2 linked regions of the Macaca mulatta genome follow. The protein of the gene in region 1 interacts with the protein of each later gene in a biochemical or structural test. Links are inferred from orthologs where the notes say so. Each region holds a gene or a part of one and is shown on either strand. Other genes may lie near its edges.

Region 1 (8,754 bases):
CCTTTTCTCCATGTCATTGATGGAACTTGCTGGAAGAAAACTGAATAGCAAACACCTTGGGTGGAATGTGCACATCATCTGGCAGTGCTGGGCGGTCGGGGTGTACATGGAAGCTACATCCCCACCTCTGAAGAAGGCGTTTTCATATAGTTGAGTCAGACATCCTGTGATAGAACCATAAAAGTTAATTTGAGATAATTCAAATAATAATTTTAACAAAAAGATATCTGTTGTCTTAACTTCTCCCACTGACTGACTACTCCAAGACCTGTATAATATAATTCTAATTATGCTGAGAAAATAAAATATATTAAGGCAACCATTTGAACAATGTAGATTGTTATTTAATTTTCTGGGCACTTCTGCATTAAAACTTTGGCTTATTTTCATTAAATTGCACAAAAATTTGCACATAAATTACCCACAATAAAATAAAATCCTAACTTAGTTTTTCCCTGTTGCCTGACATGCTATGAAAATATCATGCCTTAAAAAGAATAATATTTGCTCTATTTTCAAAACACTTTGGTTACAAACATCTCCACCAGCTTCTCACAATTCTGTAAGGGAAGTTAGAAGCAGGTTTTGTTATCTGCATCTGGATTAGGTTTTTTGAAAGAAAGTTAAATAACTGAATCTCAGGGCATACAGACTTGCCCAAGATCCACACACTTAATGAAAATCCTGCGACAGTCACCCAGCCCTGACTCCCAGTCCTGTGTCCTTTTCTAGCATGCAGTGCTAAATATTGTTCCGCATCTCAGTATGATTCAAGCAAACTGACAATATTTTTTACTCATTTTTAAGATAGTTTAAGCAAATGCATGCATATGCTAAATGGAAAGTAAATTTTGAACTATTTGCTGTTTGGAATTATTCCCAGCTCTAAAATACACTGCACCCCACCTATTATTAGAGAATTAGGTGTCATTACTGCTTTAATTTGTAAATGTGGATTTACCTGGAAAGACTCTCTTCCAAGTCTGCTTAATGAGCTTTCCTGGTCAGCCAGCATATTCATTTCAGTCAGTCAACTGACCATTAACCATGGCTATTCCGATGACAACCTGTCCATTCGCTGGGGCATTAACCATGGCTATTCCGATGACAACCTGTCCATTCGCTGGGGCAGTAGTTACTCTTCAATTTAAATAGTACCTATTTTTTTATTGCCTTTGAGGGAATGGGCAACTTAGACCACGTGCATTTTATTAAGCACTGGAGAGTGCCATCTTCTCTGCACAATCCTACCCCCTGGGAATTCTGGCCCTGAGCCCCAGTCTGACCACCCAACACAGCAAGACTTCTATCCCTCTCAGAGGTGCGGCCAGATGACCACCTCTCGGGTAAGGTTTACATTTGGGAAGAGCACAGATCTCTTCAAATGGAAGCTTTGGGGAATACAAGTGTATTGCCTAGATTTCATGTATGCACAAAGCATGGAGGCATTGGTTTAGTGACAATACAGGTTACAAAGAGGTCTGTTTTGTCAGACAGTTGGTGGTTTTGACTGACTCATAATTATCAAGCAGTCACTCCTCTTCCAGCACCTAGGTTCACACGCAAGGATGCACACAATGGCTGGTGCTGGCCCAGAGCTTCCCATTCTGCCATTGAGCCTCTGTGACCTGCCATGTGACTCAGTCAGGGAAGGGAGTGACTAGAAAAACGCCAACTTTGTTGCTGAATGGAAAGAAACTTCTAGTAGGTGTTCTTGCTTATCCTCCTAAGTTGGTGATCATGCTGATAATGATGATCATGACAATGATAGCCGTGTCTGTACTGTATTTTGGAGCATATGTAAAGTACTGTTATATAGTTTATCTCATAATGATGGTGGCTTTCAAAGCTTTCACATGGGCTCCCATGTCCACGGATTTTGGGCAGGTTATTCAGTCTTGTTTAACAATTACATAAACAATAAGGAGAAGAAAAGTACTCTAATTTTAAAGAATTAGTGGACAAATATGAAAAGATAATTTACAAAAGAAATAGAAGTGATTAGTAAGTACACGAAAATGGGAAGAATCACAAATACAGGCAAGTTAAAACAACTAGAAGCCAGTTTTCCATGAGATTAGTAAAAATGAAAAATTAAATAACCAGTATTTGTATACTGGTTTTGATTGCAAATGATGGAAAACCTAGTACAAAGTGGCTTGAATACAAATGAAATCTATTGGTTCAGGAGCCAAAAAGCCCACGGTGACTCTGGCTTAAGGAGTAACCCCACATTGTGCTCAACGGATAGCATCAGTGGACAATAGTCTCCTTCCGCTTGCTCCAGTCATGATGTTACCATTACTCTCAAGCTCCACATAGTAGCAAAATAGGACCAGCAGCTCAGGCCTCTGTATTCTCTTATGTTTCAAGTTAAATTGGAAAAAAAAAAGTAAGAGTCCTATTTCTAGACGTCTAAACAAACGCTTCATTGCAAGATGTTGGCTCTGATTGGGTCACTGCAGTCAGCAGGATGTGTGCACTTCCTGGTTCAGCAGAAGAGTCAGGGTCACCAGAACCACATGGACCAAAACTGAGAGGCAGTAGCTCTGCAGAAATAAATTAGGATACTGTTTCCAGAAAGATAAACATGTCGGGATGCAAAGCAACAGAAGCCTGTTAGAGTTGGCCTAAGTGGGGTAAATGAGGACTCTTATTAGCTGGTAGAAGAAGTCAACTAGGGAGTAACTTTTCTGAAAGATAATTTCATGATGCCACACCATAAAACCTTCTAAAATATTCATACCTTTGAATCTAGTATTTTTATTTCAAAAAATGTATTCTACAGAAATAACTAAGTGCATAAGAATGTGCACACAAACATACCATAAAAAGAGAATAGCAAGCTCCAAAAAATGTCATTTATTTGCACCAAAAGGTAGCTGTAAGTGGAAAATGCAAGTCAAAGAGTATCCATAGTTAATAACTCTTTTTTGTAAAATGTGCAAATAGGCATATGTAGAAAAATATCTGAAAGACTAAACAAAAGATGTTTAACAACGACTGCTTCTGAATTTGGGGACTACATGCAATATGTAGTTTATAGTTTTTTGCTTATTTACATCCTTAATTTTCCTAGCCATAATCATGATTTATTTTGCCAGAAGAAAAAAACAGAAAATGAGAAACCACCTGGAGGTGGCCGTGGTTCACAGTATCCCTGGCTCATGCTCCTTTTCAGTTTTCAGTGGGTTTGCACATGGGTTGGTAAATCACGGTTTAGAAAAGCAATCAGGGTTGAGGGACAGACACAGGGGAGTTGTGATTTAGGGGGAATCAAAGCCTTTTTTCCTGGAAAAGTAGTCTCTTTATGAATGTAAACCTTCCCTGTAGACGTTTATTGTAGCCATACGAGAGGAAAGTTAAATACTCATTGTTATGTGGCCCTCTTAAGTCACCATAGACTCAGAATCATGCCTTGTGGGGACACAGAGAAAACTCCCTCTATAGCGATTAATGAAATGTCCAGAATCATTTTTATTCTCCAAAAATTAATGATATTAATAGAGAAATGAGATCGAAATCTAGTGTTGAAAGTTATTCACCTAGAACTATCCAAATGCCTGGTTTGCTAAGTTAAATTTAAACCAGGTACTTTCATTTTTGAAATGGTTCCCTGGCTGTCCAGAGTAAAACTATGTATCATGTACCTAACAGATACTTGGATTGGACCCAGACACTATATAATGCCCAGCACTCTTTTGAAATTTCAGATAATGTTTAATTTTTTAATGTTGATAAAAATAGAGGAGTAATTTTTTTGTTTTGAGTTTTGTTTTGCAGAGTGTCATCTGTGAACAGAAGTTTTTATTAACACAAGTCCCAAGACATTCCCGCTTCTGAGCTCCTTCCTCTGGTCTGCAATGTATGTATACAGCAATATATCTCACAAGTCGTACTTGTTCTGGAACATTAAATAGACACGTGTCCTGAATCATCAGGGACTATCTCCATCCCCGAAGCTGTATGTTCAATAGCTTTCTCCAGAGGTGGTGCGACTTGCTTGGCTACTCCTGTCTTAGCCTGAATTTCATGCTTTATAGATAATTCACTTACCACAGGAAACTGTAGCAAACAAGGAAATGAAATAAGTTGCTTGCTTGAATAAAATCATTCTAAAAAAGAAAACAATACATAACTCTGTTGGTTTTAGACTGCATTTAACATAAATCTTAATTTAAGGTGATACAGATTTTCTTGTAAATGTCTGAATTACAAGACAAAGCACACAGTTTCTGGTATAGAAAACAAGGGGTTTTTTTCTCTACATTTGTGTCTAGGGAGTTGGAAAGTTTATAATGCTTCCCAAGATACAAATTGAGACCTTCAGACTACTGCTGTGTTTATTGTTGATTGGCAAACTCTGTGGCTAGTAATGTTGGAAAGGGAATTGGTAGAGAGAGAGATTAAACAGTTATGAAACCTCTTGATTTGAGCAAAAAGAAAATTAATAAATAATGGCAATAATGTCAGTCCAAAAATCCCTAAATAAAGAAAACCTCTGAAAATATTAAAGCCCAATTAAAAATTTTAAATCAATCAAGTATTCTTTTTGATTTAAAGTCATCTTACATTTAAATATTTCTACATAAAGGAATATTAGTTCCTTCTCTACTATCTATATACTCAGGAAATTAGAATATAAATGACTAATTTTCTCATAAAGTAAAAAACTATACTTTAAAAATTATAGTTTCTTTGGAAACAATCAGAATAATAGAAATTTGCTACCTGAAAACACAATTGCTTCTTGGAGGTGAGTCTCTTGTCACTTAAAAATGAACGGTCTTCAAGCTGTTCTAATGTGGCACCGCAGGCAATGTTTTCCTTGGCTTCGATATTGACTTTGGGTTTCTGCCAACAGTTTCAACTTTTTGTCCTGTCAACATATTCCGTGAACATCCTATCCGTGTTCAGCTGTTAAGTATATTAACTATTTCAGGGAGTGATGTCAGCAAGAACCGGAATAGGAGTTTGTCAGAACAGGAGTTTCTAGTGCTCATCCCTTGCAGAAACATCAATTTGAATAAGTATCCATGCACGAAAATAACTTCACTAGAGCTCAGGAATCAGGTGAGAGGTTGTACCACCCAGTTGCAGCACAGAAGTAAGAAAAGACACATTGAAGTGCATAGGAAGGACAATTTCACATTACCAGTGTCACCCACCTTCAAGCCTGGGCAGCACAGCATGGAGAGAGATACCCTCTTGCATGGAAGAGGAACAGTTAAGATAGCACCCACCTTCACCACAGACCCCAAGCACCAAGCCCACTCCAGTAAACCCCGGCACCAGGATTCAGCCCTGCCACAGGCCAGACTGGCCTCTGTGGCCTCAGCCCCATGCTCACCCCAGACCAGGTCAGCCCCTGGGGGTCTAGACTCCAAGGTGGCCACAGAAGACCTAGACTTCAGACCTGCTCCAGCTCTAGCCTGGCCCCCAAGACTCTAGCCTCCACATTAGCCCCAGCAGCCCAAGGCTCCAAGTTGGTACCCATGGGCCTAGAATTCAGGCCATCCCCTGCAGATCCAGCACCAGGTCAGCCTCCAGAGATCTTGGCCATGTGGACCCAGATGCTGGGCTCACCCCAGTGGACCCTGGTCCCAGGACAGCCTGAATAAACTCAGGAACAGGTCTGTCCCCATGAACTCAGGTGCTAGGTGATCCCCATGTTAGGCTGGCCCCTGCAGACTCAGGCTTAAGGCTCATTTCAGTGCCAAGTCAGCCCTCAAGGATCCATGCTTCAAGCCAGTCCTTGTGCACAGAATACAGACAACCACAATGAATGAACCCAGAATCCAGCCCTGCCTACCTTAGAACTCCAACAGAAATCCTGTGCATAGACCCCAACAGACAGCCCACCCATAATCTCTGGTCAATCTGACTAGTGAACGGCTTCCTCTACTGAAGCTAGTATGTAAAGACTGAAATAGGTACCTACTTCAATGCAAGGCCACACTGATCACAAATAATCAGGGAAACAAGAAACCACCAAAGGAAGAAAATAAAGCAGCAGGAGGCGACTCTAAAGAAATGGAGATCTATACTGCATGACAAAGAGTTAAAAATAATTATCTTAAGAAAGCTCAGTGAGCTACAAAACAATATAGATAGACAGTAAACAAAATCAGGAAAATAATACATGAGCAAAATTAGAAGTTCAACAAAAAGATAGATAGGAACCATAAAAAGAACCAAACAGAAATTCTCGAACTGAAGAACACAATGACTGAATTGAAAAAATTCACAAACATCTTCAGCAGCAGACTTGATCAAGCAGGAGAAAGAATCAGCACACTCAGATACAGGTCATTTGAAATTACCCAGTCAGAGTAATAAAAGGAATGATAAAGATTGCAGAAAGCTGACAAAAATTACAGGACACTGTTAAGAAAACTAATATGCATGACAAGAGTTCCAGAAGAAGCAGAGAAAGAGAAAGTTGCAGAAACTTATTTTTAAAAATAAGAACAGAAAACTCTCAAAATTTGGAGACATAAATGAAATAAACATCCAGATTTATGAAGCCCAAAAGAACTCCAATAGATTAAATATAAAGAGATCCTCACCATGACAAAGAGAGAATTTTCAAAGAAGCAAGAGAAAAGCAATTCTTCACATACAAGGGAAGCTTCATAAGATTATCAGTGGATTTCTCAGCAGAAATCATGTAGGCTGAGAGAATGGGATGATATATTCAAAGTACTGAAAGTACAAAACCTGGCAACCAGGAATATAATATCAGGCAAAGCTGTCCTTCAGAAAGGAAGGAGAGAAAAAGAATTTCCCAGATGTATTAGTTCAGTTTCACATTGCTGTAAAGATACTACCTGAGACTGGGCAATTTATAAACAAAAGAGGTTGAACTGACCCACGGTTACCCATGGCTGGGGAGACCTCAGGAAACTTATAATCATGATGGAAGGCAGAGGGGAAGCAGACACCTTCTTCACAAGGTGATAGGAGAGACAGAGTGTGCATGTGCAGGGGAAACAGCTACTTTTAAATCCCTCACTATCATGAGAACACAGCACAGGGGAAACCACCCCAATGATCCTATCACCTCCCACCAGGCCCCTCCTTCAACATGCAGGGATTACAATTCAAGATGAGGTTTGGGTGGGGACATGGAGCCAAACTATATCATTCTTCCCCTGGCCTTTCCCAAATCTCACGTCCTTTTCAGATTTCAAAACCAATGATGTCTTTCCAACAGTCCCCCAAAGTCTTAACTTATTCCACAGTAACCCAAAAGTCCAAGTCCAAAGTCTCATCTGAGACAATGAGCCTTTAAAATAAAAAACAAGTTAATTACTTCCAAAATACAACAGGGGTACAGGAATTGGGTAAATGTTCCCATTCCAAATGGGAGAAATTGGCCAAAATAAAGGGGGCACAGGCCCCATGCATGTGCAAAACCTAGCAGGGAAATCATTAAATTTTAAAGCTCCAAAATAACCTCCTTTAAGCCCCTGTCTCACATCCAGGGCATGCTAATGCAAGAGGTGGGCTGTTAAGGCCTTGGGCAGCTCTGCCCCTGTGGCTCTGCAGGGTACAGCCCCGACGGCTGCCTTCATTGGCTGGCACTGAATGCCTGCAACTTTTCCAGGCACATGGTGAAAGTGGTCAGTAGATCTACCATTCTGGGGTCTGGAAGATGGAGGAACTCTTTTCACAGCCCGCTGGTCAGTGCCCCAGTGGGGACTCTGTGTGTGGGCTCCAACCCCACATTTCACCTCTGCATGGCCCTAATAGAGGTTCTCCATGAGGGCTGTGTCCCTGTAGCAGACTTCTGCCTGGACAGCCAGGTGTTTCCACGCAGCCTGTGAAATCTAGGTGGAGGCTCCCAAAGCTCAACTCTTGTTTTCTGTGCACTTGCAGGCCCAAGAGCACATGGAAGCCACCAAGGCTTGCACCCTTGAAGCAACAGCCTGAGCTATGGAACCTTTTAGCCATAGCTGGAGATGGAAATTTTAGCCATAGCTGGAGTGGCTGAGGCACAGACCACCAAGTCCCAAGGCTGCACACAGCAGTAGGGCCCATGAAACCATTTTTCCCTCCTAGGCCTCTGGGCTTGTAATGGGAGGGGCTGCCTTGAAGACCTCTGAAATGCCCTAGTGACATTTTCCCCATTGTTTGGCAGTTAACATTCAGCTCCTGGTTACTTATGTAAATTTCTGCAGCCAGCTTGAATTTCTCCCCAGAAAATTGGTTTTTCTTTTCTACCACGTGGTCAGGCTGCAAATTTTCCAAACTTTTATGCTTTGCTTCCCTTTTAAACATAAGTACCAATTTAAGACCATCTCTTTGTGAATGCATATGACTGTATGCTTTCAGAAAAAGCCAGGTTATATCTTGAATGCTTTTCTGCTTAGAAATTTCTTCTGACAGATACCCTAAATCATCTCTCTCAAGTTCAAAGTTCCACAGATCTGTAGGGCAGGGGCAAAATGCTGCCAGTCTCTGCTAAAGCATAGCAAGAATGACCTTTGCTCCAGTTCTCAATAGTTCCTCATCTCCATCTGAGACCACCTTAGCCTGGACTTCATTGTCAGTATGATTATCAGCATTTTGGTCAAAACCATTCAACAAGTCTCTAGGAAGTTTCAAACTTTCTCACATCTTCCTATCTTCTTCTGAGCCCTCCAAACTGTTCCAACCTCTGCCTGTTACCCAGTTGCAAAGTTTCCTTCACATTTTCAGGTTATCTTTACAGCAATACCTCACTCTGTCAGTAACAATTCTCTGTATTAT
Region 2 (8,813 bases), on another chromosome or scaffold:
AGGAGTACTGCAAAGCAATGTACCCTTCTTAATGTATCACAGAGGGAGCGCTGCAAGTTGCAGAGAACAGGAGTGCTGGAATTTAGGATTCCATTCAGTGACCCTTACTCCCATCCCAGACTCTGCTCCAGGTTATAGCACAGCATGCGTCAGCACAGAGCTACCTCTGAGAGCTAGCACACAGAGTGGGTGAGCGGGAGAGGCCCCAGTGTACCTGAGGAAACTGAGGCAGGAGACAGGGACATGAACTTGGAAGTTATCTTATGTACGCAGGAATGAGGGCCAGACCCGAGCAGTGGGAATTAGGGCAATGAGAATGAGGAATAGACATGAGAGATATTGCCAGTTGGTTGATGTTTGTCATGCATTTAGAAAATGCAAAGCCAGACCAGGCACGGTGGCTTATGCCTGTAATCGCAGCACTTTGGGAGGCCAAGGTTGCCTGAGGTCAGGAGTTCAAGACCACCCAGGGCAACATGGTGAAACCCCGTTTCTACTAAAAATACAAAAAAAAATTAACCAAGTGTGGTGGTGTGCACCTGTACACCCAGCTACTTGGGAGGCTGAGGCAGAAGAATCGCTTGACCCTCAGGGGTGAAAGTTGCAGTTAGTCGAGATCGCGCCACTGCACTCCAGCTTGGGCGGCAGAGTGAGACTCCATCTCAAAAAAAAAAAAAGAAAGAAAGAAAGAAAAGAAAATGCAAAGTTAAATAGACTGCAGTGTATACAAGCTGTGAAGTGAATAGAAGGCTAGAAGGAGAAGCATATAAAATGAATGACAGTGGTACCTCTGAGAAGAAGCTGAGGTGCGGGACGGGTGATTTTTCACACTCTGCTTATGTTCATATCATTTGAACCTTTTCAGTGAAATAGTATTCACCTTATCACTTAGGTGGTACATTTTGTGAAAGGCAGAGTGAAGAATAGTGTTGAAGCACAGGCAACTGAAGTCTCCAGTGCAGAAGGGCTGATGTGGTTTTCCTCACCACCACTCATGGGGAAGCCCAGTGCTGGTGCCTGCTCATGTCTAGCAGGCAGCCATCCTCCTGTCTCAGTTTATCTTTCACAGCTGGGTTTAGGGGCCTCTGGAGCACAGGCGTGCCAGCCAATTGTAGCCCTTGTACACAGGGTAGAGCCAGCAGACACTTATCTTGGCAGGGTCCATGAAAATCCATCTTTATGCTATACAGGTTCCCTTTTGTTCAACACTTTCCTCCGTGGAAGAAAACCACAACAACTTAAATGACACCCTTCACCACCTGGGCTTTCATCAGCGTGTACATGAGGGGAGACTGGTGACCCACTGGTGGGGCTATCTGATCATATTACTCTGATTTTTCTAAAGCTCCTCTTCCTTTGCTGAATGACTGGACGCTCACAACTCTGGCTGGGCATCTTCAGTTCCCCATGTGCACACACACACACACACACACACAGGCTTCTCTCTTCTTTGAAAGTCTTTGGATTCTGCAGAGCAGATTTGTCCTACGATGTAATAAACTGTGAAGTCTTCAACCCTCAGGTGGGTTTTCTAGTACGCTTTGTTATGAGCAGTACCAGACTAAGTGGTATTTGCACACACATAGTGTATTTCGTTCTTATGGCTCTGGGGGTGTGTGTGTGGGTGTGTGTGAGGAAGAAGCAGGGGGAGAGATACAACACTTCTGGGGAAAAGAGTGCAATTGCTAGTATCACACAAAAAGTATGAAAACTTTTCCAAGAATTAGGGAGTAATATGATTTGGCAGAAAAGTAAAGTCATATCCAGTTCAATCAACCTTGAATGAATTTAAAGATGCTCCCTGTAGTTAGGACTCCAAGGCTGAGGCTTAGTCGTTGCTAGCTTTTAATATTAGGCACAGCATTCGGGTGCAGTGGCTCACACCTGTAATTCCAGCACTTTGGGAGGCCAAGGCAGGGAGATCAATGGAGGTCAGGAGTTCAAGACCAGCCTGCCAACATGGTGAAACCCCATCTCTACTAAAAATACAAAAATTAGCTGGGTGTGGTGGCAAGTCCCTGTAATCCCAGCTACTTGGGAGGCTGAGGCAGAAGAATTGCTTGAGCCTGGGAGGTCCAATGAGCTGAGATTGCACCACTGCACCCCAGCCTGGGCCACAGAGCAAGACTCTGTCTCAAAAAAAAAAAAAATTAGGCATAGAATCTAAGAATAAATTAACCTGAAATTTATTATATAAGTGTATATAAAATAAGATGCACAGCCATGTTTTACATCTCTCCAAGAAATCTTTGTTCTATTTTATAGGTGAGCATAAAGATTTTCTTTACAGAATTTTTTTATCAGAAAAAAAAGATTAAAAATAGTCCAAACATCTACGTCCTATGTCAAAAAAAAAAAAAAAAGGAAAAAGGAAAAAAGAAAGAAAAAGTAGGTTTGTCATCATGAACATGGCTCTACAGATTTTTTTAAAAATTAAAGTCTAAACAAGGAGCAGAGTGAATAGGCCGATTTTTTTTTTTTTTTTTTTTTTTTGGACAGAGTTTTGCTCTTTTTGTCCAGGCTGGAGTGCAATGGTGTCATCTCAGCTCACTGCAATCTCCACCTCCCAGGTTCCAGCAATTCTCCTGCCTCAGCTTCCCAAGCAGCTGGGATTACAGGCATGTGCCACTACGCCCGGCTAATTTTGTATTTTTAGTGGAGATGGACTTTCTCCATGTTGGTCAGGCTGGCCTCGAACTCCTGATCTCAGGTGATCCACCCGCCTCGGCCTCCCAAAGTGCTGGGATTACAGGCGTGAGCCACCGCACCCGGCCAGTTTTTATCCTTTAGGAGTAAGGATGTTGATACCATCAAGCCTCACACGTCTGTTGAGATGATCAACTGTAGTTTTCCAATGTTGGCCTACAGATGGGGGCCATTCTGTAATATAGTTTCCCCACTCTGTGTTGATGTGAGGAAAATAAGAATAATAAAGTTTTATTGCTGATTTTGAGGGAGAAGGGTTCTATGACCCGCCTTGGGGAAGAGAAATTCTAGCTTCCGTGGCCTGCCTTGAGGGAAGAAGTGGAGCAGGAGAAAGACAGGCAGGAGAAAGCAAGAAAGAGGCTTTGTTTTTGCAGCCTTTTTAATGTCCTTCAGTTCGAAGTACTCGGCATGCCAAAAAGCCATATTTGGGGCTATCTTTTTCTGCGCCAAACCAACACCACCAAACCAGAAAGAAGCAAGCAGAGGGAATCCAGGGCTTCACCCAACCCGTCTCTTCCTATGCTTCTCCTCTATCGCCTCCACCCTGGGAGCAATTTTCTTTTACAGAACTAATGCAATTGAGCATAAAAAAGCTGGCCTGTCCAGAGACCAGATAGGACACCCATGTTTTATTTTCAGTTGTGTCAACATCCTGTATGAGACTCCCGGAACTCACTGGCTGCCCCTGTGCATGAGCTTCTTAGGCATGTAATAGAATTAATAGCAGTCTGCTTTTGTGCAGGTAGGTATCCTGCCAAGAGATTCTGCAGGAAACATGTCTGCACATTGTACTCATTCTTGCATTGTTTACCCATGTAGTGACCTTCAAAAATGGCTTTGTGAAAGTCACAGGGGAATAACCGAGTTAGTAAGTACTTTATTCCCCTCCTTCATCAGATTCTGCTCTGATTTGCTACATAAAGTTGTATAATCACCTGGAAATATGCACTGTGCTCCCTCGTGATTTTCAAATGCAAATGAGCAGGTTAACAACCCCAGTGTTGCAATGTTCTAGCCGTAAATATGTTTGGATAACCCAGCAGAGCCATTTAACCTTTGGGAACAGGGCAACTAGCGTATGGCAGCAGGAATCCAACCAGTGCCCTGAGTGCTGAGGCAGAGAGGAGGACAGAAAACGAGAGGCTGGAGATTGTCAAATTCAGTATCCCAGTTGGCTCTTGATTCTTGGTGAAACCATCCCTCAGCTCCTAGAGGGAGACTGTTAGATCATGAAACTAATTATCATCCTTTTCTTCTGCTCCAGGCTGCTACTAAGTTTAACCCAGGAATCACAGTCCGAGGAAATTGACTGCAATGATAAGGATTTATTTAAAGCTGTGGATGCTGCTCTGAAGAAATATAACAGTCAAAACCAAAGTAACAACCAGTTCGTACTGTACCGCATAACTGAAGCCACTAAGATGGTGAGTGAACTGTGTTTAACCTTGAAGTCACTTGGGATTTGTACTGTCACTAGGAGCCCAGGCCTCACACACACACACACACACACACACCCCACCACCACCACCACCACCACCCCGCACCATCACCACCACACCCCCCATCACCACCACCCACCACCACCACCTATCACCACCACCCCCCAACATCACCACCACCCACCACTCCCCACCACCACCACCACTACACCACCACCACCACCACCCACCACCACCCACCACCACCACCACCACCCCACACCACCACCACCCACCACCACCACTACCCAGCACCACCCACCACCACCACTACCCAGCACCACCACCCCACCACCACCACCACCAAAGATGTGATCATCAAAGGCAGAAGTTTACAACTTGTGGAAAGACCGATACCAGTCTCTGGCCTGGGGTGGGAGGGCAGAGTATGACTCATCCTCAGGCAGATGGGCTTCCTGATCAGAGAAGTAGAATGTAGGGTGAAATGAAACAAAAGTAAATGGAGAAATCTGAACAGGACCAACTAGAGTGGGAGAATTTAGGAATTTAGTTAGACTGCAGCAAAAGAATTCACTGGGTCTCTGGCCCTAGGCTAAAAAATATAGACCTCCAAACCTTAAATGGGAGGGGATACTTAATGGGTCATGTCTAAGAGGAGTCAGGAATGAGTTTAGTGCAATTCTACGGAATTAGACAGAAGTCTGTATGGCTGAATGTACCAGCTTTAACAGCAATGTTTGTTTTTGATATTATTGTAATGATGTACTCCAGTAGGAGATAAATCCTTGCAGGATGCATGGTTCAAAGAAATACCAATCTTTCAAGAGTATGTTTAAACAAATTTCACTATAAAAGACTACCTCTCTGGGACAGCTAAGCAATTGGTTACTTTAGCAGAAAAAAAAAAAAAACTAACCATGTGACAACATGGGGATAAAAGAAAATAAACACAGTGGACATGTTATTTTTTCTGAAAATAAAATTGAGCCATTTTGTTTCACAATCTAGTACAGTCATGTGAGAAATTCTGCTTCATGGTAATCTCAAGCAACAGTTTATTTGTGGTGTGGTACCCAATAGATTGTGGTGGGTACGGTTGTAAATATACAAAAAACATTAAACTGCATACCTTTAGAGGGTAAATTTTATGGCACGTAAATTATATCTCAATAAAGCTGTTTAAAAAAGAAAAAGTAGGAAACAAAACAAACCAAATAAAAGTACTAAAATCACCCATAATTAATGCCACCATACAGAGATAACTGTTAACATTTGTTTAAGGTTTTCTTGTTTGCTTTTTCTAATTCGTAAAAGTCACATATGTTCATCAGGGGAAAAAGGTCACTTAGAAATGTTTGCTTGAAGAAGAATGTGAAAGATAATTATAATCTCACCACTGACAGACAAACATTTTAACAGCTTGCTGTGCATCTTTCCAGACTTTTAAAAAACATAGATTTATATATAAACCAGTTTTTACAAAAATGGGCTAATACTATGCATACTGCTTTATAACCTTTAAAACGACATTGTGAGTATGTTATAAACATTCTTTCACATAAATGTTTATGATACAAATATAAATATATTTTAAGTGAATGCTTTGCTCTCAAGTCAAAGATCAATATTCCTAACTTTACTGGAACCCACTAGAATTATTTGCTATCGGGTCAGTTGGATGAACCCTAAGTATCTTTGGCTGCTTTTCAGGTTCGCTCTGACACATTTTATTCCTTCAAGTACGAAATCAAGGAGGGGGATTGTCCTGTTCAAAGTGGCAAAACCTGGCAGGACTGTGACTACAAGGATGCTGCAGAAGCGGTAAGTGTATTGGCCATTCTTGGGCCTTCTGTTTTCTCTGTTGACTCTGCCAGATTTTTTTACTCCTGCAGAAATGATGACTACTGGTGAGCCTGTTTATGAGAAATGCAAATAAACATTCTAATGTGTAGAAAAGTCAGATGCTTTGTATCTGTGTTCTTGTATAGACAGAAAAATTATGGAGAGGCCAGCAGTTAAACATGGAGAAAGCCTTTCCATGAGAAGGGAGCTCTAGTGTCCAGTCAGAACATGTGGCTCAGACTCCAGAGAGACAACAGATGGACATTTGGGCCAAGCCGAAGGGCTGGCGAGGGGAGGGCCTGGGTGCTTCCATTGCACAACCTTGAGTGCAAATCTTGACTCTGCCTTCCATTAGCTGTGTGATAGCGGGTGAGCTGTGACCTCTCAGAACTGGCACTCTCCACTGTATATGGGAGATAATACTGACCTCATCAGGTTGTCAGAGGATGAAATTAGATGAATTATGCAAATAACTTTGATAACAATGCCTATCTTAACCAAATGCCTAACATATAGGCCTGGCACACCGTAGCCGGTTGTTTTGCTTTAATTAAGGAAGACTTCAGACAGTATCTGCCTCGGAAGCAAGCCTTGTTTTTCATGGATTGATTCCCTTCTTTTATGTCAGAACGTAAAAGATGACTGTCAAGTCATCTGCGGTTACCGAACAGCACTGAACTCCAAGTCAGGAGTCCAGGAGTTTGCAGTGCTGGTTGTCCCTTCTCAATCGTCTCATCTGCAAGGTGGGGATAAGTAGCTGCTGTGCCCTGTGCTGCCTGCTTCTAGGAGCTGTGTGGATAAAGGGAGGTGTGCTCTATCCTGATGGAATAATATCTGTCACTTAGAATCCAATGGATATGACTGAAGAATGACAAGACAAAACAAAACAAAAACAGTGTTCAACAATAACAATTAAACAACTGCCTATTGTTAAGTGCCTGCTCTGTGGTGGGCCTCTAGTAGGCAAACACAGCGTGTGTTTGCACACATACTGTTCACAACAACTCTAAGAGATAGATGTGTCCTATCTCCTACAAGATGGGTAAACTGAGACTCCGAGAGTCAACGGGACATGACATAGGTAACAGCTAGCAAGTGACAAGGCTGGAACTGAAAAACATTTTGATGCCAAGGTCCTTGCCCTTTCTATTAAGCTAAAATGAAGTTTATATGAACAGTATTAACTCACTAAAGTTGAGAAGTAGATAACAGGAGTGTTTACCAGGCTGGTACTAGACCTCTGCACCCATCTTGGTTAGAAAGAAATAGCTCCAGGGCTCAGCCAGGCACAGTGGTTCACGCCTGCAATCCTAACACTTTGGGAGGCCGAGGTTATTGGATCATTTGAGGTCAGGGGTTTGAGACCAGCGTGACCAACGTAGTGAAACCCCGTCTCTACTAAAAATACAAAATTAGCTGGGCGTGGTGGCATGCACATGTAATCTCAGCTACTTGGGAGGCTGAGGCAGAAGAATCGCTTGAATCTGGGAGGCAGAGGTTGCAGTGAGCCGAGATCGCACTATTGCACTCCAGTCTGGGTAACAAGAGTGACACTCTGTCTCAAAAAAATAAAAAGAAAAAAGAAAAGAAAAAGAAAAAAGAAATACCTCCAGGGCTCAAAACAAAGACTCAACCTTTAAAACCTTTTTACACTGTCTTTCCTCCAACATCTTATGAATATCAGAGGCTTATGTAATCATTAGGCTATAAAAAAAAACATTTATTCTCATGTCTCAAAACTCTTTTGGATAAAATCTTCACAAGTTCTGTTTTGTTTTGTTTTTTTAAGGAAAGCCACATTTAGCAACAGTACTAGGTAGACTTTCCCATCTGAAAGATTAGGATAAATTATCTTTCTTTTCTTTTTAGGCCACTGGAGAATGCACGGCAACCGTGGGGAAGAGGGCGAGTATGAAATTCTCTGTGGCTACCCAGACCTGCCAGATTACTCCAGGTAGCTGGTTTATCCTCTGGCACTGCCCTGGTGGGAAATTAACCGCTTCTGTGTGCCAGGAACACAACCTTGACCAGGCTCTGCTTGCTCCCAGAGGGCGGCAGTAGTAAAGCCATTTGCACAATTAGGGAGCATTGGGTGGAGCGGCAGAGCCCGGAGGGTGGGCCAGGCTTGTGACCATCATCCCCTTAGGACTATCCCAACTCTTCCCGTGTGCTGCATTGTACCCAGTATGTGCAAGGGCTCTGCAGAAGGACCAGGAGGCACAAGACCTGCCTGCCCTCTATTGTAGGCAGCATCCCAGAGTGAGGAGTGCATAGGCTTTGAGGGCAGCCCTGGCCTGGAATCTTTCAGAGCTCCTCACCTTCTTGGCTGTCCTTTTCGTTGTCTAGAAAAGGGAGGTAACAGTACTTCCCAGCTCACAGGACTGTCGTGAGGCTGAAATGAGATGATATGTCTGGAGGTACAATCAACATACTAACATATTAATCATAATAACATATTAGCAACAATCAGGATAAAGATAATAGCTAACATGTATTGAGTCCTTATGTCCCAGCCATGACTCGAAGCTCCTTACATGTATTAACTTCTCCTTCTTTTTTTCTTTTACTGATACATTATATTTTACATATTTATGAGGTACATGTAAGTGTTTTTTACATGCCTTGAACATGTAATGATCAAGTCAGAGTATTTGGGGTACCCATCACCTGGAATATTTATCATGTCTATGAATTGGTGATATTTCAAGTCCTCTCTTCTAGCTACTTTGAAACATACAATATATTGTTGCTAACTATAGTCAGCCTAGTCTGCTATATAACATTAGAACGTATTTCTTCTATCTAACTATAATTCAGTACCTATTT

Evidence for each region.
Region 2: the proteins of KLKB1 (region 1) and KNG1 form a complex in vitro, tested with the Homo sapiens proteins (4 studies listed by BioGRID). The link is inferred for Macaca mulatta from reciprocal best matches to the Homo sapiens genes KLKB1 and KNG1.

What each region holds. Positions count from the first base shown.
Region 1 is NC_133410.1:194,645,919-194,654,672, reverse strand, and holds the start of KLKB1 (plasma kallikrein), read right to left. Parts: upstream 4,860-8,754; 5' UTR 4,732-4,859; intron 4,116-4,731; 5' UTR 4,115-4,115; coding exon 4,057-4,114; intron 165-4,056; coding exon 2-164; intron 1-1. UniProt on the Homo sapiens protein: Participates in the surface-dependent activation of blood coagulation. Activates, in a reciprocal reaction, coagulation factor XII/F12 after binding to negatively charged surfaces.
Region 2 is NC_133407.1:11,897,627-11,906,439, reverse strand, and holds the start of KNG1 (kininogen-1), read left to right. Parts: upstream 1-3,729; 5' UTR 3,730-3,935; coding exon 3,936-4,170; intron 4,171-5,798; exon of another isoform or gene 5,799-5,835; coding exon 5,836-5,966; exon of another isoform or gene 5,967-6,033; intron 6,034-7,829; exon of another isoform or gene 7,830-7,856; coding exon 7,857-7,941; intron 7,942-8,813. UniProt on the Homo sapiens protein: Kininogens are inhibitors of thiol proteases.